2 linked regions of the Macaca fascicularis genome follow. The protein of the gene in region 1 purifies or fractionates together with the protein of each later gene. This does not show direct contact. Links are inferred from orthologs where the notes say so. Each region holds a gene or a part of one and is shown on either strand. Other genes may lie near its edges. The genes, in order: ARFGEF3 and PHB2.

What was found.
Region 2: the proteins of ARFGEF3 (region 1) and PHB2 purify together in Homo sapiens (affinity purification with western blotting; 4 studies listed by BioGRID). This does not show direct contact. The link is inferred for Macaca fascicularis from reciprocal best matches to the Homo sapiens genes ARFGEF3 and PHB2.

The regions. Positions count from the first base shown.
Region 1 is NC_088378.1:42,368,850-42,378,738, forward strand, and holds part of ARFGEF3 (brefeldin A-inhibited guanine nucleotide-exchange protein 3), read left to right. Parts: intron 1-1,300; coding exon 1,301-2,522; intron 2,523-3,626; coding exon 3,627-3,818; 3' UTR 3,819-9,889. UniProt on the Homo sapiens protein: Participates in the regulation of systemic glucose homeostasis, where it negatively regulates insulin granule biogenesis in pancreatic islet beta cells. Also regulates glucagon granule production in pancreatic alpha cells.
Region 2 is NC_088385.1:7,906,612-7,917,132, reverse strand, and holds the start of PHB2 (prohibitin-2), read left to right. Parts: upstream 1-5,635; 5' UTR 5,636-5,760; coding exon 5,761-5,887; intron 5,888-6,036; coding exon 6,037-6,121; intron 6,122-6,727; coding exon 6,728-6,807; intron 6,808-7,735; coding exon 7,736-7,920; intron 7,921-8,286; coding exon 8,287-8,416; intron 8,417-8,528; coding exon 8,529-8,632; intron 8,633-8,701; exon of another isoform or gene 8,702-8,970; intron 8,971-9,058; coding exon 9,059-9,136; intron 9,137-10,521. Other genes in the region: EMG1 (ribosomal RNA small subunit methyltransferase NEP1), read right to left, coding at 466-579, 896-1,045, 1,124-1,182, 1,585-1,726, 1,838-1,939, 5,213-5,380.

The sequences.
Region 1 (9,889 bases):
TTTGACTTGGAGACTTACTGAATGCTACTCTCACCATTTTCCCGGTTACTGGGGACAAGAAGATGAATAAGGTAGTGTCCCGTCCCTTGAGGATGTTATAGGTGTCATGGGGACAGACTTGTCTGATGACTAAAAAATTTCCCTTTTTAGTTCACATCCTTATAGTATGGACAGAAAACATTAGAACAAACTGATAGCTTTTGGACCAAGTTGGTATAAGCTTTTGGAGCCCTCTTTTTCAGAAGAACACGTGTTCGGGTTTACTGGTAGCTTAAGTAGGAGCTGAGGCTGGGGAAATGGAGAGTTGTTTAATGGGTACAAAGTTTCTGTTAGAAATGATGAAAAAGTTTTAGCAATAGATAGCAGTAATGGTTACACAACATTATGAATATACTTAATATCACTGAATTGTATACACAAAAAATTAAAATAGTAACTTTTATGTATTATTTTACCACAAAAAAGTGAACGTGATTTATTTTAAAAGGTTGCTGTTTTTGAGAGTAATGTGTTTTCCCTCAGTGAGGACTAGACAAAGGGCAAAGTTGACATTGAGATTTATGCAGGATTTGTCATTTTCTGCTGTTAGAAAAGCACTTTTCCTACTTATACAAATTTTTACATTCAAAGTCATAGTGAGACATAAAGCAAAATGTTATTAACATGATGGCTAGACCTTTGAAATTAATAACAGTTGTCATAATTTTATAATTATCCAGTTTGGGGCATTAATTGGCCATATAATGGCCTCAACTATTTTCATAAAATTCTAAGAGCAGTGAAAAGAAATGAAACTGGAAACCAAAACCACACTGAACCACACTGGTGAATTTAAAAATTTGGCAAACATAGGACAGGTTGAGCATCCCTAACCCCAACTTTTTGAGTGCCAGCGAGACACCACAAATGGAAAATTCCACACCTGACCTCATGCGATGGGTTATAGGAAAACCCAAAATGTATTCTGTGTTCCCAAGGGCAAAAAAAGCCCCCAGCCCCCTTCAACTGTGATATCTTTTCACAAATATATCTTGATGTTAACTGTTAATTTGGCATCATAACTTATATTCTATAGCTTTGGGAATTTTTTAAAGTGTCAAGAAGTCCACTAGTTGTGATTAAAATGGTTATCATGTAATACCCAAAAAGTATGCCTTTTTTCACGGAAGACATTTGAGTAGAGGTAGTTTAGTTTGTAAATTTGCATATATCATTCTGAAATGGGTAACGTCTATATTGCTTTGAAATACCTGATGTAGGGCAGAAAACCATTCATCGATCCCTCTCTTTTCACTTGAAGCGTGTCTTTCAGGGAAATTGTGGTGAGCCTGCTGTCCCATCAGGTGTTACTCCAGAACTTATATGACATCTTGTTAGAAGAGTTTGTCAAAGGCCCCTCTCCTGGAGAGGAAAAGACGATCCAAGTGCCAGAAGCCAAGCTGGCTGGCTTCCTCAGATACATCTCCATGCAGAACTTGGCAGTCATATTCGACCTGCTGCTGGACTCTTACAGGACTGCCAGGGAGTTTGACACCAGCCCCGGGCTGAAGTGCCTGCTGAAGAAAGTGTCTGGCATCGGGGGCGCCGCCAACCTCTACCGTCAGTCTGCGATGAGCTTTAACATTTATTTCCACGCCCTGGTGTGTGCTGTTCTCACCAATCAAGAAACCATCACGGCCGAGCAAGTGAAGAAGGTCCTTTTTGAGGACGACGAGAGAAGCACAGATTCTTCCCAGCAGTGTTCATCGGAGGATGAAGACATCTTTGAGGAAACCGCCCAGGTCAGCCCCCCGAGAGGCAAGGAGAAGAGACAGTGGCGGGCACGGATGCCCTTGCTCAGCGTCCAGCCTGTCAGCAACGCAGATTGGGTGTGGCTGGTCAAGAGGCTGCACAAGCTGTGCATGGAACTGTGCAACAACTACATCCAGATGCACTTGGACCTGGAGAACTGTTTGGAGGAGCCTCCCATCTTCAAGGGCGACCCATTCTTCATCCTGCCCTCCTTCCAGTCCGAGTCATCCACCCCATCCACGGGGGGCTTCTCTGGGAAAGAAACCCCTTCCGAGGACGACAGAAGCCAGTGCCGGGAGCACACGGGCGAGTCCCTGAGCCTGAAGACCGCTGGTGGGGACCTGCTGCTGCTGCCCCCCAGCCCCAAAGTAGAGAAGAAGGATCCCAGCCGGAAGAAGGAGTGGTGGGAGAATGCAGGCAACAAAATCTACACCATGGCGGCCGACAAGACCATTTCAAAGTTGATGACCGAATACAAAAAGAGGAAACAGCAGCACAACCTGGCCGCGTTCCCCAAAGAGGTCAAAGTGGAGAAGAAAGGAGAGCCACTGGGTCCCAGGGGCCAGGACTCCCCACTGCTTCAGCGTCCCCAGCACTTGATGGACCAAGGGCAAATGCGGCATTCCTTCAGCGCAGGCCCCGAGCTGCTGCGACAGGACAAGAGGCCCCGCTCAGGCTCCACCGGCAGCTCCCTTAGTGTCTCGGTGAGAGACGCAGAAGCACAGATCCAGGTACACCCCTGCGGCCAGAGGAGGTGGGCGGGAAGCTGGGTTTCCAGTACTGAATGGGCCCCCCTTGCAGAGCAGGCTCACACAGGCTAATTTATAGAAACAGGTAGGGAGTACGAACCAATTTCCCTCCAAAGTCAGAGGACTGCCCGAGCCTAAGTGCAGGATTTCCCAGTATCAGTATATCATTATGAAGCTGGAATTTTACTCTCAGGTAATTTCAGGAACTGTTTTTCTCCATTGTAATGTGTATTATTGAAAATTAGGAACTTAGCTGTATAAATAAGATGAGGCTAAAGCTTATAAAATGTAAGCTTTTTCAAGACCAGCCTGGACAACAAGGCAAAACCCATCTCTACAAAAAAAGAAATACAAAAATTAGCTGGGAAAGGTGGCACATGCCCGTAATCCCAGCTACTTGGGAGGCTGAGCCAGGAGGATTGCGTGATCCCAGGAGGTAGAGGTTGCAGTGAGCTGAGATAGTGCCACTGCACACCAGTTTGGATGCATAGGGAAACCCTGTCTTAAAAAAAGTAAGCTTTAACTGGCATCGAGTTCTTAGTGTGTCATTCAAAAATGGCACTGAAGAAATTCTGTAGTTATGAAGCATTATACAAACGAAAAAAGCAAATATTGTGTGGTTATGCCAATTAACTTTTTTCAAATTGTTTTCATCTCAACTTTTTCTAGCCCATCCTGTGCACATAAAAATTCTCAATCTTCAGGGGGGCTTAGAGTGTAATTCTATGGTGCATCAAAAAATGAGTTTGAGATGAATGGCCTATGGAGATCTCATTGTGAGAAGGCAAGGGAGGTTTTTTATTTTTGCTTTTGTTTTTTCTAATCTAAGGAGTAAGAGTTTAGTAGTTTGTGAAAGCTGAAAATAAGGCGAATCTCTGCCCATCTTTATGGATGTGAAATTATGATGTAGGCATAATAAATTAATATGCCTACAATTTATTACAGGCATATTAAATGAACAAAAACTAATTTATTGCAACTACAGCCTGAAAAAAAAAACCATTTCCACATTGGCAGGGCCGCTCTCAAGTGTTCAAATAAAACCAGGGGGGAAAGCCACTAATTTTCTTAAATCCTTTCTCTTAGGCATGGACCAACATGGTGCTAACAGTTCTCAATCAGATTCAGATTCTCCCAGACCAGACCTTTACGGCCCTCCAGCCCGCAGTGTTCCCGTGCATCAGTCAGCTGACCTGTCACGTGACTGACATCAGAGTTCGCCAGGCTGTGAGGGAGTGGCTGGGCAGGGTGGGCCGTGTCTATGACATCATTGTGTAGACATCATTGTGTAGCAGACTCCTATTCCACTCCGCCACCAAACAGCAGTAGTGAGGGTTAGAGTCTGCCTGCCTATCCAACTGTTGCGTTTTCCCCACCACCAGCCCCACTTAAACTAGTGTCTCAGAGAACAATGTTTCCTAATGTAAAAAGCCTTTCCAACCACTGATCAGCATTGGGGCCATGCTAAGGTTTGTATCTAGATGACACAAACGATATTCTGATTTTGCACATTATTATAGAAGAATCTATAATCCTTGATATGTTTCTAACTCTTGAAGTATATTTCCCAGTGCTTTTGCTTACAGCATTGTCCCCAAATGGGTCATTTTCAAGGGTTACTCATTTGAAAACACTATATTGATCTATCATCTTAAAAATAAATATAATTCCTAAGGCAATATCTGCTGGTAAATCAAGCTGATATGTAAACTCAGACATCTAGTACCAGGGATTATTAACTGGAGGAAGATTTATGATTATGGGTTTGGCTGGGAAGAAGACAACTATAAAAACATATTCTTGGGTGTCATAATCAAGAAAGAGGTGACTTCTGTTGTAAAATAATCCAGAACACTTCAAAATTATTCCTAAATAAGATTTTCAGCTATTCACCAATTTCCCCATATAAGGTACTGTTGTGCCTTGATTTCTGTATGATTTCTGTATGTCTAAAAGAAGAAAGTTCTTTCCTAGCAGGGTTTGAAGTCTGTGGCTTGTCAGCCTGTGACACAGAGTACCCAGTGAAAGTGGCTGATACATAGATCGTCGAGAGACATGAGACCGACCAGCCACCCTGGCTGTTCTCGTGGTGTTTGCTTCCGTCCCCAAGGCAAACAAGGAAAGGAAAGAAAAAATGGTGCCTTAGTCTTTTGTTGCACTTACATTTCCATGCCCCACAATTATCTGAACGTAAGGTATAACGTTTGGTTTTTAAGACAACAAAACAGTAAAACACAACTCATTTTATATCAACACACTTGGAGGAAAGGGACTCAGGAAGGGAGCAGGGAGTGTGGGCTAGGGATAGATTATGATGAAATCATTTTCAATCTTAAAATATAACACAACAATCTTGCAAAATTATGGTGTCAGTTACACAAGCGCAAGTCTCATAAAATGAAGGCAATGGAGAAAGACACTGAAATTTAGAAAATTTTGTCTATTTAAAATATTTCTCCTATCTAGCAAGTAAAGTTACCCTACGTTTGATGTCTTTTCATTCAGACCAATATTTCAGGTGGATATTTCTAAGTACTGAAAGCTTTATCTTATTATTTACAGTATTTTTACATTATCCTAATGATTGAAAACTCCTCAATCAAGCTTACTTACACACATTCTACAGAGCAGAGTTAGTTGTTAAGGCATACATTATAATTTCTCAGCTCTATTCGTAATGAATAAGTCACCCTTTAAATAAAAGACAAATTCTGCAGTCTTGAAACACGGATTTAAAAGGGTATTTGCAAACTTTGCCCTCCTTGAGAAACATGGAACTAACTTAGAGGTTAAGAGGAAGGCAGTGTTGTGACTTCTTCAGGTGATCTGAAAGAAAGACCCTTATCATTCTGTGTGCCATCTAGAGATCACCACAGAATCCATTTTTTTCCCAGTTCCACAGAACACTCTGTTTGCCTTCATTTTTCACTCACTAGACAATAATTCAAGTTTAGAAACAGGTAATCAGCTATTTGATCTTAAAAGGCAATGAATTGTTGGGATATCAGTGAACTATGTTGTATACTTTTGAATTTTTATACTTTATAAATGGAATTGAAAGTTGGATAACTGCTTTTTTTTTTTTATTTTCCAACAGAAGTAACACCACAGTTGTTTTGTTTCTTTTTATAGCTTACCTGAGGTTCAGTTCTTCTTTGTGAACCTGCAAGTACTCCACAGTTTACTGGGGGAAAAGGCCTCAGTAAAGCAGAGGCCAGAATTACAGTATTTATACATAGCAACTTTTCATAAAGTAGAAAAATTCAAAGGAAGCTGTCTCAATTTGTGAATACCAGCTGGGCGCAGTGGCTCATGCCTGTAATCCCAACACTCTGGGAGGCCGAGGTGGGCGGATCACATGCGGTCAGGAGTTTGAGACCAGCCTGGACAACATGGTGAAACCCCGTCTCTACCAAATATGCAAAAATTAGCTAGGTGTGGTAGCATGCACCTGTAATCCCAGCTACTCAGGAGGCTGAGACAGGAGAATCGCTTGAACCCAGGAGGCGGAGGTTGCAGTGAGCCGAGATTGTGCCATTGCACTCCAGCCTGGGCGACAAGAGTGAAACTCCATCTAAAAAAATGATAATTGTGAATACTGTGTCCCAAAGTATGTTAGTTATTTGGAAATCAGCATTCTCCCTGATGCTCTATTATGGGATCCAAAATTCTTGAACATAAGTTTACCCTATACTGTGTCCGAACACTGTTCTAGTTCTAGCCTGAATATGGGTCCCAAGAATAAAAGGATGAGAAGGTGTACAGAGCTCTTGACCTATAATTTAAAGAGTGTTTTGGTACCTTCCCATTGTCTTCTCTATAACCCAGTCCTGACATACTCTGCACTTGAGTTACTGGACATCCACACTGACATCAGATTTCAACCAGAAGCATCACTGAGTGACAGCAGTACTTCTCAGAGGTATTTGCAGCTTGATGCAAAGTAGTCTCTAATAAGTAGGCCTTCAGGTGATTCTTCCCAGCAGGTGGAGAAGCAAGGGAGGAGATGAAGAACACTGAGAGGGGAGTGGCACTTTCCCAGACCGCCCAGCTCAGTCTCTTGCCCTGTTCCTGTGACTCAGCTGCCCACCCCCAAACTTGTTTCACTCCCTCCCAGTCTCTGAAAGTGTCAGGTGTTTCTCTCCTCACAGTCTCTTTTGCAGCAACAGTAAGACAAAATTCAAAGCAGCCTTTTAAAGTGAAGAACAGTTATTAGCATGTATTTACAGACCTAAGCAGAATGAAAGTTTATACATTGTTTTTAGTTGCCTGTATTTATAGCCAAAACTTTATTACCCTAAAGTTGAGATCTTTCTCTTCTTTTCCTAAATTTTGGTAAAGTGTGCTTCATGAAACAAACATCTGGAAAACTCCAAGTATAAGAGACCTGGGACTGATGATGGCCCAGCCAAGTGTATGGAGGGACAGAGTTCTCTCTGTCATTAATGAGGACATCGGTTTTCACAACTGAACCTCATGCACTGTCCATAGCATCTCACCTAGCTCTTGTGTCTCCTGATCATATTTTAAAAATAGACTGCCTTTTTACACAATCTTCTCTCCTCTTATGATAATTTTCCAGCCCTTACCATAGATATAAAACTAGAACACTTTTATTATTTGGGGTCTATGTAATGACTGACCAATAAGAACCCAGACAGATACTAACATACTTAACAGCTCTCATTAAAATACTTTAAATCAGGCATGGTGGCTCATGCCTGTAATCCCAGCACTTTGGGAGGCTGAGGCAGGTAGATCTCTTGAGGTCAGGAGTTTGAGACCTGGCCAACATGGTGAAACCCTGTCTCTACTAAAAATACAAAATTAGCTGGGCATGGTGGCAGCCACCTGTAATCCCAGCTACTTGGGAGGCTGAGGCAGGAGAATTGCTTGAACCTGGGAGGTGGGGGTTGCAGTGAACCAAGATTGCACTCTAGCCTGGGTGACAAAGTGAGACTTCTTCTCAAAAAAAGTAAATAAAAATAAAAATTTTAAATCAAACATGACAAAAATGTTGATATAATTCAAAAGTTCCTTGAAATTGAAACATATTGGTACAATGATCATTAGGCTTTTCGTCCTTGTTGTTTTAAAATAGCCTTGGCTGTGAGAAGGTAATGCAGTTATGTAATAGATATCCTTGATTTTACCAGAAAGGAAAATCCATCAGTATCAGTCCCATCAAAGTAAACAGAATGAAGACCTTTGTGTAGAGCTGACAGTAATAACAAGAGGTTACAAATAGCAGGGAGGAAGAGAGTGGTGAATGTCACTGTGATTGCAAACCTTTACCTGTATTATCACACGTAGTCCTCACAACAACCTTGTGAGACAAGTATTGTGTTCCTCATTTTTTCAGATGAGAACACAGACCCAGAGAGGTTCAGAAACTTGCCCAAGATAACAAGCAAAAGGCAAAGTTGGTTGCAAAAGAGGTGTTTCTGAATTCAAAGGCCATACTCTCTCTGACAACATGCTGTAAGTCCACAGAGTAAGCACTCTAGTATGAGAAAAAGTTTCAAGGAATGAGGCCATTAAAATGAGACTATTTGACATCTCAGATCTGTCTGGGATGTTACGGAGGTTTTTAAAAATAAAGTTGAAAAAAGAAAATGAATCGTGTTTATACATTAAAAAATCATATGTAACACATTTCAAGTGTTTGAAAATAAAGCCAAAATCTAAACTTTAATCTTCAAGCAGACATTCAGTGTTACTTTAGAAAACTCACTGAATTAGGCAGAAATGATGGAATAATACTGTTCATGGCCAGCTGTTAACACAGAAGTACATGGCAGCCTGTGTCTAGAATGGCATGCACGATTTGTAAACCTTTTTCAAATATCATTTAATCAACTCAGAATAAAGTGCCCTGTAGCCAACAGTGCCTCTTTACTTGCTTCTCTGGGAAATACATGGTACTAAATTTGTAGCACAAAGTTTGGGAATATGCAAAATAATGGATAACCATTTTTCAAAATGTACATTCTCTGAAGAGGAAGCAGCTGGTTGGACAAGATTGCTTGAAGAACCAGGTGCTAAGGGCATCAAGTCGACATCCTTAGTAACCATGTGCCATAACATCTACACATTTCCACTTGTTTTACAGACAAAGAAACAGGCAGAAGGAAAATCCAGAGTCTTGCAGTAAGCAGATGACAAGACTTCAATATGCTTGGGCACCACTTAGGTGACCCCAGGGAGATTTAGTGTGGCCTTAGGAAAGCAAAAGAGCACTTTTTATTGGAAATATGAGCTTGTTACTGGGAAAGATTTGTAAACTTGGTCAAGAACTTGATTTATAATTACGCCTCCTCAAAAAAAAGTTCTCATTTAGTAGTGGAGCAATCTAGAAAACATACCTTTTTTGTTTGTTTGGAAGATCCTTTTTCTCTGGCTATATTGTAGTGTTTGCTATTTGATGTGGAAATAATAACTTAAGATTTTGGAACAGAACACCCTTTAGATTTCCAAAACACAATTCTTATTTCAGGGAAGACAGACCAAAAATATCTCCTGAGATCATCAGTTTCTTTATAAATTGTGGTACCATTCTATCATTGAAGAGAAACCACTACCACACCACGAGCACCATACAAAACCTTTTCTCTGTATCTTTGTACAATACTACAAAGGGGTACCAGGGAGGAAGAGTGGCTGACCACTTTGGTGACAAAATGGCACTCCACTGCTGGTGAATTCCATCTAATTATGGTCCTTCCACCCTTTTCAACCACCAAAAACTGTTTTTACTGTTAATTCCTATCCTGAAGGTTTAACCAGTGGTTGTCCCATATCTTTTGTCTTTAGAACAGTGGTTCTCAAACTTTAGTACACATCAGTATCACCTGGAGGGCCTGTTAAGACACAGATTGCTGGGCTCCTGCTCAGAGTTTCCAGTTAAGTAAATCAGGAAATTTGCATTTCTAACAAGTTTATAGGTGAGGCCAATACTGCTGTTTTGGGAACTATGCTTTGAGAACCACTGCCTTGAAAAAGTTTCCAACTACTACCTTTAAGATCAACCTGACTTATCAAACGCTAGAGAAAAACTGAATCTATCCTTGGGCAGACAACTTGGGATTGGATTCTATACAGCAGTCTTGCTCAATCTTCCCAGTTTCCAGTTTTATTATACCAACAATTGGTTTTTACAAGCTAGAAGACAATGAATGTATAAGTTCTATGGAACAGTGAGATCAATCTAAGCTTCTCGTCTTTGTATTTAGAAACATTGATTCTATGGATGATCATTTGTATCATGTTGACCCTTTGACTTGTATTGAAGGTGATTTTAAATTTAAGTGTGTAGTGTTTGAATTTCTTCCGTCCATATCGTTTTAATG
Region 2 (10,521 bases), on another chromosome or scaffold:
GGCCCTGCCTGCTCCACTTTTTCTACCTTGGAACTGTATTAGATAAAATCACTTCTGTTTGTTCAGTTTTTCACCACCAGCATTCCTGACTGCTGTCTTTCACAGTTCTTCTCCACCCTTGCCGTGGCTGATTATCAGGGTTCTCTCCTTAGGGGCACAGGAATCTAGGAGCTAAAGCCTGCCTTCAAAGCATGGAACCAAACTGTAAACTATGTAACCTCGTATCTGTCCCTGAAGTCCCAGGGGAACAAACAGTTTTACACCATTAGATACTTTAGGAACCCCAAAACAACCAGGTTTGCAAGAACAGTATTCATAGGATAAACAAATAGCAAATGTACAGCCTTGGCTTCCCCAAACTCCACAGTCTCAGTGCAGAAAGATCATCTTCCAGCAGTCGGCTTAGACCAGGGTCAAAGGATGCGACCTCAACAGTTTCTGGTTTCAGAACAGGTTCTACTACTGTCAAATGACCCCCCATACTTCCTCAAAGGCTGTGGTAAGTTTTGCACAGGTGAGGGCAGCAGAAAGGGGATAGTTGCTGATGGACACCATCTTCTCTGTATATTCCACACTGACCTAAGAAGAGAACAGTTTTGTCAGCCAACTCTCACTCAGTAGCTGTTTCAACCCTTCTTTAGGTCAGGAAAACTATAGCTGAGCTAGTATTTCAGCTGTGCTGTTTAATATCAAATTCCTACAAAGGATGAAGAAGGTCCTAACTGTGACTATTACAAATATGGCAGCAGTCCTCAAAGGATGTGCACTGGGGCAGGGTGTGAAACTGTCATGTGTCTTTAGCTCATTGTAAGCATTGTTAAAATGCTTACTGCTCTGGGAATTCTATACTAAGTTCAGCTCTACCAAGAACCTCAGGGTTGAGCCCAGACCTTACCTTGCCATGGGCAAAGGCCCCTACCACAAAAACAATAGGATCACTGCTGGGCACCAGCTCACGCACATCACTGACAACCGGGATGGAAAAAGAAGTGCCAACTTTCATACATCCAACTGGAAAGTGATCTGATACTGGATTCTTAATTACCTAAAGTGAAAAAGAGAAAAGTCAGCCCCAGAAACATTCCCAGAACCAACCTTCAACTAGTAGGTTTCAATACCTCACCTTCAAGAGCTTCTGGGGGCCATCAGCTGCTCGAACACTGAGCTTGTGTAAAAGTTGAACTAGAAGGGGGAAAAAGAGTTCAGAGGTAAATGGAGACCATCGTCCTTCTCTGTCCAGTCATTATCTAACAAGGAAAACCCCATAGGTAAGATGAGTTCCCTGTGTGCTCTATATCCAGACTGGACTCCTGAAATGTTAGGAACGAACAGTTGCCAAGCATATGGCTAGCTGTACAGTGATAGGTTCAGACTCCGTCTTTCACTCAGCCAGGAAGCTACTGCAAGAACAGGAGAGTGGAGTTTCCACAAACAGAAAAATAATAGGAGTCCTTGTCCTGGTATTAATCATGTTGTTCTCCCATCTCCTCGCTTAAAAATCCGACATTTAGTTCTCCCTTTTCCTCTTCCTCCCTTCTTCCCTACAGACAAGTTCATTCTGAACTTTGTTCTAAGGCTTCTTACCCATGAGGCCACAAAAGCGGTCAAAGGTTCTGGGAATTCGGGTCTGGGGATTCACTTCAATCAGAACATTCTTCTGTGTATGGATATAAACCTGTAGCAAGCCAGCTCGGTTCAGGGGACTATCCATCAGCATCAGCAAACTCTGAGCAAAGCAGAAACCACGGCATGGTTAAGGCTGAAGAGAGGCAGCACTCAGCTGCCAACCCTTCCAAACAGAGGCTCAAAGGGTTGTGAGCACTGTCCCTGGAGTTACCTGGTGGGCGATGTCTGGCCGCACTTCCCCAGGGTCCCGTCCATTCTTCAACAATATAGACTTGTGCTTGTCACAGTTGAGTAGCTCGTATGTCTTCCCTACCTGAAGAACAGGGAACATGACCAAAGAACAGCATTACCTAGCCCACCACCACCAGCAGCTGCATCTGGAAACCTGTTAGGCAAATTCTCAGGCCCACCCTAGACCTACTAAACCAAAAACACAGGAGGTGGAGCCCAGCAAGCCCTTCAGGAGATTACTGTGCAGCCATATTTGCACTCCCCAGTAAATGGTCTTGGAAACAGGAGAAAGGGCACAACCTGTGACTTCACATTACCTACCAATACACTGGATTTAATTTTAAAACCTGTGGCTGTTAGGCAAGGCCAATGAGACATCCTGGAACTAGGCAGGAGTTAGTAGTTAGTGAGCAAGGCTGAATGCTTTGTTTATCACAGGAGCAGTATGTATGTACTATGCAAAACATACCATCACTACCATCAGTTTGCGTACACCAAACATGCACTAAGTGAAGAGCTGCAAATCTGAACAAGAAGAAATGTGAAAATTCTAATGATGCAGGAGGCAGCTGAATCAAAGAAAACGCAGAAGTAAAATGAAGAGGGGTTATTCCCAGTTTTAAGACTGGCATGGGGACAGGTGCAGTGGCTCAAGCCTGTAATCTCAGCACTCTAGGAGGCCAAGGAAGGCAAATCACTTAAGGTCAGGAGTTCAAGACCAGCCTGGGCAACATGGCAAAACCTCATCTCTACTAAAAATACAAAAACTAGCTGGGTGTGGTGGCATATGCCTGTAGTCTTAGCTACTTGGGAGGCTAAGGTGGGAGGATGGCTTGAGCCTGGGAGATGGAGGTTGCAGTGAGCCAAGATTGCACCACTTTACTCCAGCCTGGGTGACAGAGCAAGACCCTGTCTCAAAAAAAGAAAAAAAAAGATTGGCATGAGCAGAGGTACAGTTAGAATCAAGAAAAAGTAGCTAGGTGTGGTGGCTCATGCCTGTGATCCCAACAAGTTAGGAGGCCGAGGCGGGAGGATCACTTGAGCCCAGGAATTTGAGACCGGCCTGGGCAACACGGTGGGGCCCTGTCTCACCAAAAAAAAAAAAAAAAAAACAGGTGCAGTGGCATTTGCTGGCAGTCCCTGCTACTCAGGAGGATGAGGTGGGAGGACTGCTTGAGCCAGGGAGGTAGAGGCTGCAGTGAGCCATCACACCACTGCACTCTGTTGCCTGGGCAACAGAGCGAGACCCTGTCTCAAAAAAGAAACAAAAAAGTGGAAACGAAGAAAGGAAATTTTGAGGAAAATTGGGAGCTGGGACACTGAAGGGCAGTGATTATATATGAAGCTGCTTTGTAAACCACAAAATCCTAATGTATCGAGCACAAAGCCAAAAATCTGGAGTAAGAAGGGCAGGATGGGAATGACTGACAGACACTATCCTAACAACTCTGTGTACACTGAAAAAGACATCAGAAGTTTGATGATAAAGAAGTGGACTACATCTGTAGCAGCTAAAAGAAATAATTCCAAGTTGCAATTTGGAGTCCCAAGGAGCATTAGGGTGGTCAGTAAAAAGCCTAAAAACAAACTGTTATATACAAATACAGGTTTTGGAAGGCTAAGTTTTTTGTTTTGTTTTGTTTTTTTTGAGACTGAGTCTGGCTCTGTCGCCCAGGCTGGAGTGCAGTGGCCGGATCTCAGCTCACTGCATGCTCCGCCTCCCGGGTTTACGCCATTCTCCGGCCTCAGCCTCCGGAGTAGCTGGGACCACAGGCCCCCGCCACCTCGCCCGGCTAGTTTTTTTGTGTTTTTTAGTAGAGACGGGGTTTCACCGTGTTAGCCAGGATGGTCTCGATCTCCTGACCTCGTGATCCGCCCGTCTCAGCCTCCCAAAGTGCTGGGATTACAGGCTTGAGCCACCGCGCCCGGCTGGAAGGCTAAGTTTTTATGTATCACTAGAATGTTTGTATATGTCTAGCAACATTCTTGAGATACATGGCTCCAAAAAGTCTGCGAAAAAAGGGATACAGATTTTGAAATTGAATAGTTGAAGTAGCAATGTCACAGAGTAAGCACAAAGAAAGAACAAATGACGAAGAACTAAGTCCATGAGACATCCTTAGTTATAGAAGAAAAAACCTTCTTGAATGAATAATAGTTTCAACCCATTAGTAGGATATAACCATGTTTTCTATTCCTTTAATAGATTACAGGTGCAGGCCAGTAATCCCAGCTACTCTGGAGGCTGAGGCAGGAGAATCGATTGAACCCGGGAGGCGGAGGCTGCAGTAAGCCAAGATCATGCCACTACACTCCAGCCTGGGAGAGACTGAGGCTCTGTTTCGCGCACACACACACACACATGCACACACAAAGTGTATTTAGAACGAAGACTAAAATCCTGGTCTGACTTCTAAACCCATGCAATTTCTCCTGGGCCTACTCATTGAATTATTTCTAAAGGGTAAGAGAAAGGAGGAAGAACATTGCCCAAGGCTTTAAGATAGAGAATTGCTGGTTCTATTTATTACATGTGGAGAAAGACATGAATGATAGATAAAAATGCAGACGTAAAAGTGTTAAACAATAACCTGGTCTGGACAGTGTTTCCAGGTGGATATTAGAGAGAGGTGACTATGGACACTAATGAATTGAAACATGAAGCCCTTACAAAAAGGGAGGGCAGACTAGGCTACATAACTACCTTTCTCATCCGCCCAGTAACTTGTCTTGGGATGTGGAATGATGCAACAAACGAAACTTTCCTCTCCTTAGACTACTGTATCACAGAATCCTGGTAAACCAGTTGGAAGCAAAGAGGTGAGGGCTGGAATGGCATTCAAGAAGAGCAAAAGAAAATGAGTACTACCGGCCGGGCACGGTGCCTCACGCCTGTAATCCCAGCACTTTGGGAGGCCGAGGCGGGCGGATCACTTGAGGTCAGGAGTTCGAGACCAGCCTGGCCAACATAGTGAAACCCCATCTCTACTAAAAAAACCCAAAAAATTAGCCGGGCATGGTGGCGCGTGCCTGTAGTCCCAACGACTCCAGAGGCTGATTCAGGAGAATTGTTTGAACCCGGGAGGCAGAGGTTGCAGTGAGTCGAGATCGCGCCACTGCACTCCAGCCTGGGCGCCAGAGCGAAACGCCATCTCAAAAAAAAAAAAAAAAGAAAAAGAAAAATGAGCACTACCATCCCAGGATGTCAGATCAACGCACAGCCAACCAACCCATCTTCCTTCAAAAGCATCTTTCACCCCTCTCTGCTTTCTCCATCCACTCTGAGCCCCTCACCCTCATTCCACGGATCCCAGTCTATTGATTTACTACTTATCCACTTCCTGTCCCAAACTACCTTGACTGTCTCCAGACTGGCCCCTTCCAGCACCACAATAAGCCTACGGCCTCCGATCTTGTTTCCTGCCCCTAGTCGGGGCCGCTTGGGTGGCACAGCATCCCAGTCCTGTGCCTGCTCCCCACCGCTTCGTTCACGAGGCTTGAATCCACCACTGGGCGCGGCCATCTTGCAACCAGACCGGAAGTTGCGCTAACGCTCTTAAATGAGAACAGTGAGGCTTCTAATCACAAATTTCCTTCCGGCTGCCATTTTGAAAGTGGGCTTGTAAATGGCGATGACTTGCCGTCTTGCGCTGCCCTCCCTGGGAGGGCAGCCCTCCAGAAAGGGGCGGGACTTCCGTATGCGCTCTTCCTGTGCGCGAAGTTCGGGTCGGTAGTGGGCTAAGGGGGAGGGTTTCCAAGGGAGCGCACTTCCGGTGCCCTTTCTTTCGCCAGCATTACGGGCCCGAACCCTCGTGTGAAGGGTGCAGTACCTAAGCTGCAGCGGGGTAGAGGCGGGCCGGCACCCCCTTCTGACCTCCGGTGCCGCCGGCCTCAAGATCAGACATGGCCCAGAACTTGAAGGACTTGGCGGGACGGCTGCCCGCCGGGCCCCGGGGCATGGGCACGGCGCTGAAGCTGTTGCTGGGGGCCGGCGCCGTGGCGTACGGTGTCCGCGAATCCGTGTTCACTGGTGAGCAACCTTCGCCTGCTCGCCGGACGCTTCCAGTCCCTCCCCCAAACCCCTTGCCCTATCTCACCGGTCCCCGCGCCCCACCACGAGCCTAGCTAGCATTTACTCTGAGCAGCGGCCTGGCCTGATCACCACCCCTCTCCCCACAGTGGAAGGCGGGCACAGAGCCATCTTCTTCAATCGGATCGGTGGAGTGCAGCAGGACACTATCCTGGCCGAGGGCCTTCACTTCAGGTAATGGCGGGCAGAGCTTACTGACCCTGACCTTTCACCCTTGACGCCGACCCAGCAGTGGCTGTAGTGGGACGTGCAACAGGATTCAACGCTGCTCTTTTCCCTCTCTCCTCATCCCTGCTCGTAGGATAGTGGGTGCTGCGCGAACCTCCAGCAGCATATGAACTGTTGTTTTCGAAAGGGACAAGAGAATCTCTCCTTGTCGGTGGTCATGGGGAGGAGCAGGCCAAAAAACGCCTGGTGAGGGGAAACCGGGCAAAGCTAGTGAAACTGCGGCTTTTTTTGGGGAGGGGGGCGCGGGAGTTTTGCTGTGTCGCCCAGGCTGGAGTGCAGTGGCGCGATCTCGGCTCACTGCATCCTCCGCCTCCTGGGTTCAAGCGATTCTCCTGCCTCAGCCTCACGATTAGCTGGGATTACAGGCGCCCGCCACCACGCCCGACTAATTTTTGTATTTTAGTAGAGACGGGGTTTCACTATATAGGTCAAGCTGGTCTCGAACTTCTGACCTCAAATGATTCGGCCGCCCAAAGTGCTGGGATTCCAAGCGTGAGCCACCGCTCCTGGCCGAAACTGCGGCCTCTTAATACCTATCCCTGTCCCCTCCAGGATCCCCTGGTTCCAGTACCCCATTATCTATGACATTCGGGCCAGACCTCGAAAAATCTCCTCCCCTACAGGCTCCAAAGGTAGGTCTGAGCACTTGGTAATCACATGGCAGGTGGGATGATCAAGGGAGCTGGCAAGAAACCCCAGGTGAAGATGGTAGTGTCAGGCCTTTAGGCCTTAGTTTCCATGTCTGCAAGAACTGTAACAAAAATACCTGCCTCCCGGGGTCAAAGCAGCACATTCTGAACACCCTGTGTTTGCGTGCTTTCTACTGTCTCATCCCTGACGTATTCATTAAGAGTATTGTTTGTCTTTTGTCTTATGCACTGCCTAGATCAAAGCCTTGTTTTAAAGCCTTTTTTTCTAACTGCTTGACTTACTATATCTACAGTTACATCCACTAGTATACTCTGTTCAGGAGAAGTTTGTCCCTACCCTTGACTAGTTCACCTGTTCTCTCCTTCTAGACCACACATAAAAGCCATGCCTTTGAGTTTCCCAGACCTCTTCCTCCTCCACACACACACACACACACACACACACACACACGCACACACGCATACACCCTGGGTGAGGTAGGTCACCTGTAACCTGTAATGTACTTCTTTGTACTATACCTAGTGCAGGTGGCTTATTCATTTACTAGACTGCTGGGCCCTGGAATACAAGATTCATTAAGCACATTTTTGTCCCCCAAGTCCTTACAGGAGACGTGATTACGGTACAGCGTGAAAGCACCCACATTAGAGGTTGCATGGAGTACAGAGGGGGAAAGAGCAGTCAGCCCTGCTGGTGACGGGGTTGCAGTTCCAGGCTTCACAGTGGGTGAGGGTGCATTTCACCTGTGCTGCTTCATGTGTTCCTTGTCAGCCTGATTAACTCTCCTCCCCCCAGGGCAGTGCCAGGCTGTACATCATTGCACAGGGCATATAGGGAGGAACATGAAGGAGAAAAATGCTTGGGAAAGGGTGTTTGGCCTTGACCAGCCACTGCTGACCTCAATCTCAGACCTACAGATGGTGAACATCTCCCTGCGAGTGCTGTCTCGACCCAATGCTCAGGAGCTTCCTAGCATGTATCAGCGCCTAGGGCTGGACTACGAGGAACGAGTGTTGCCGTCCATTGTCAACGAGGTGCTCAAGAGTGTGGTGGCCAAGTTCAATGCCTCACAGCTGATCACCCAGCGGGCCCAGGTCTGACTCCCACCACCATCTGCATGGTGTCAGCCTTTCCCTTCTAGGCCCAGAGTACTGGGAATTAGGAAAGGCAGCTTAATAGAAGAGGATTGTCACCCTAGTGCCATTTCCACCTAAAAGCTGTGCTAATTGCCACTGTGAGATAAGGAGAGCCAGCATTAGAACTCGGTAGCACTTGGTATTAGGAAGCACAGAGGAAAATGACCAAGTCTTGGCTTTTCCTGCACCTCTTTCAGCAGAGAGGCTTATGTTATAGGTTTGCCTGACAGGAAGCTAAGGCAGCGCATATTGTATTGAGAGAGTGAAGGATTCGGGGTCGCAACCCAGTCCCCTCAAACCACCCTTCCCCACCCCTGCCCCCAGGTATCCCTGTTGATCCGCCGGGAGCTGACAGAGAGGGCCAAGGACTTCAGCCTCATCCTGGATGACGTGGCCATCACAGAGCTGAGCTTTAGCCGAGAGTACACAGCTGCTGTAGAAGCCAAACAAGTGGGTGAGTTGCACGAGCAGTGGGGTGAGGGCTTCCGAGATGCAGGAGGAGGAAAGACTCCGTGGACGGGGTTCCTGACCCAGCACACGGTCTCCCTGACTCTCTCCCGCTACAGCCCAGCAGGAGGCCCAGCGGGCCCAATTCTTGGTAGAAAAAGCGAAGCAGGAACAGCGGCAGAAGATTGTGCAGGCCGAGGGTGAGGCCGAGGCTGCCAAGATGATATCCTTCTGCGTGAGAGGTCTCGGCCCAGTCCCTAGGGCGCCTGAGTTCCCCATCCTCCTTCACGGGCAGGCTGATGAGACTAAGGCGAATGCGACTCCGTGCTCTCTGGCCCTTGGCTCCTTGTTGCGGGTGGGGGCTACAGATGAGATCTGAAATCTTAGCGGGGGTACCTGAGCCCTGACTCCCCACTGTAAGGCCAGATCAATAGCACTGCTGGCCTTGCCTTCATTTCTGCTGCTGCCCCTAGTTCCTGGCAGCAGCCTGCAGGGAGGCCCACAGGTGGGGTCCAAGGTAGAGCGGGCACAAGCCACCTGAGCGCAACCTTGGATCTGACAGCCCAGAGGAGGACTGTAGCAAGGGAGTGTGGTAAGGACGGGGCTAGGGATTGAGACCTGCCCTTGTGTGAACCTTAACCCTCCTCACCTTGGAGAAGCACTGAGCAAGAACCCTGGCTACATCAAACTTCGCAAGATCCGAGCAGCCCAGAATATCTCCAAGACGGTGAGTGTGTCAGCCCAGCGTCTCTGATGGGGCTGCCTTGAGAAAGTGCTTTCAGTTAAGGCACATTGAGGTGAGGGAATTCGAACCTTGCTTGTTCGGGTTTCTACTCAGAGTGGTTTTATGGCCGGCGCAGTGGATCACCTGAGGTCAGGAGTTCAAGACCCACCTGGCCAACATGGTGAAACCCCATCTCTACTAAAAATACAAAAGAAAATTAGCCTGCTGTGATGGCGTTTAGCTATATTCCCAGCTACTCAGGAGGCTGAGGCAGGAGAATCACTTGAACCCAGGAGGCAGAGGTTGCAGTGAACTGAGATCACGCCACTGCACTCCAACCTGGGCAACAGAGCAAGATTCCGTCTCAAAAATAAATAGCCGGGCGTGGTGGCTCACGCCTGTAATCCTAGCACTTTGGGAGGCCGAGGTGGGCGGATCACAAGGTCAGGAGTTCAAGACCAGCCTGGCCAAGATGGTGAAACCCCATCTCTACTAAAAAAATACAAAAAAAATTAGCTAGGCGTGGTAGCGGGCACCTGTACTCCCAGCTACTCAGGAGGCCGAGGCAGAGAATCGCTTGAACCTGGGAGGTAGAGGTTGCAGTGAGCCGTGATAGCACCTCTGCACTCCAGCCTGGGCAATAGAGCGAGACTCTGTCTCAAAAAAAATAAGTAAATAGGCCAGGTGCAGTGGCTCACACCTATAATCCCAGCACTTTGGGAGGCCGAGGTGGGCGGATCACGAGGTCAGGAGATCGAGACCATCCTGGCTAACACGGTGAAACCCCGTCTCTACTAAAAAAATACAAAAAATTAGCCGGGCGTGGTGGCGGGCACCTGTAGTCCCAGCTACTTGGGAGGCTGAGGCAGGAGAATGGCGTGAACCCGGGAGGCGGAGCTTGCAGTGAGCCGAGATCGCACCACTGCACTCCAGCCTGGGTGACAGAGCGAGACTCCATCTCAAAAAAAAAAAAAACTAAGTAAATAAAAAACAGCCGGGCGCGGTGGCTCAAGCCTGTAATCCCAGCACTTTGGGAGGCCGAGACGGGCGGATCACGAGGTCAGGAGATCGAGACCATCCTGGCCAACACGGTGAAACCCTGTCTCTACTAAAAATACAAAAAAAAACTAGCCGGGCGAGGTGGCGGGTGCCTGTAGTCCCAGCTACTCGGGAGGCTGAGGCAGGAGAATGGCGGGAACCCGGGGGGCGGAGCTTGCAGTGAGCCGAGATCTGGCCATTGCACTCCAGCCTGGGTGACACAGCAAGACTCCGTCTCAAAAAAAATAATAATAATAATAATAATAATAAATAAATAAATAATTGGCTTCTCCAGTACTTTTCCCCTCATCAAGAATGATTCCTCTGGATTCCCTGACCTTTTGTTCTTG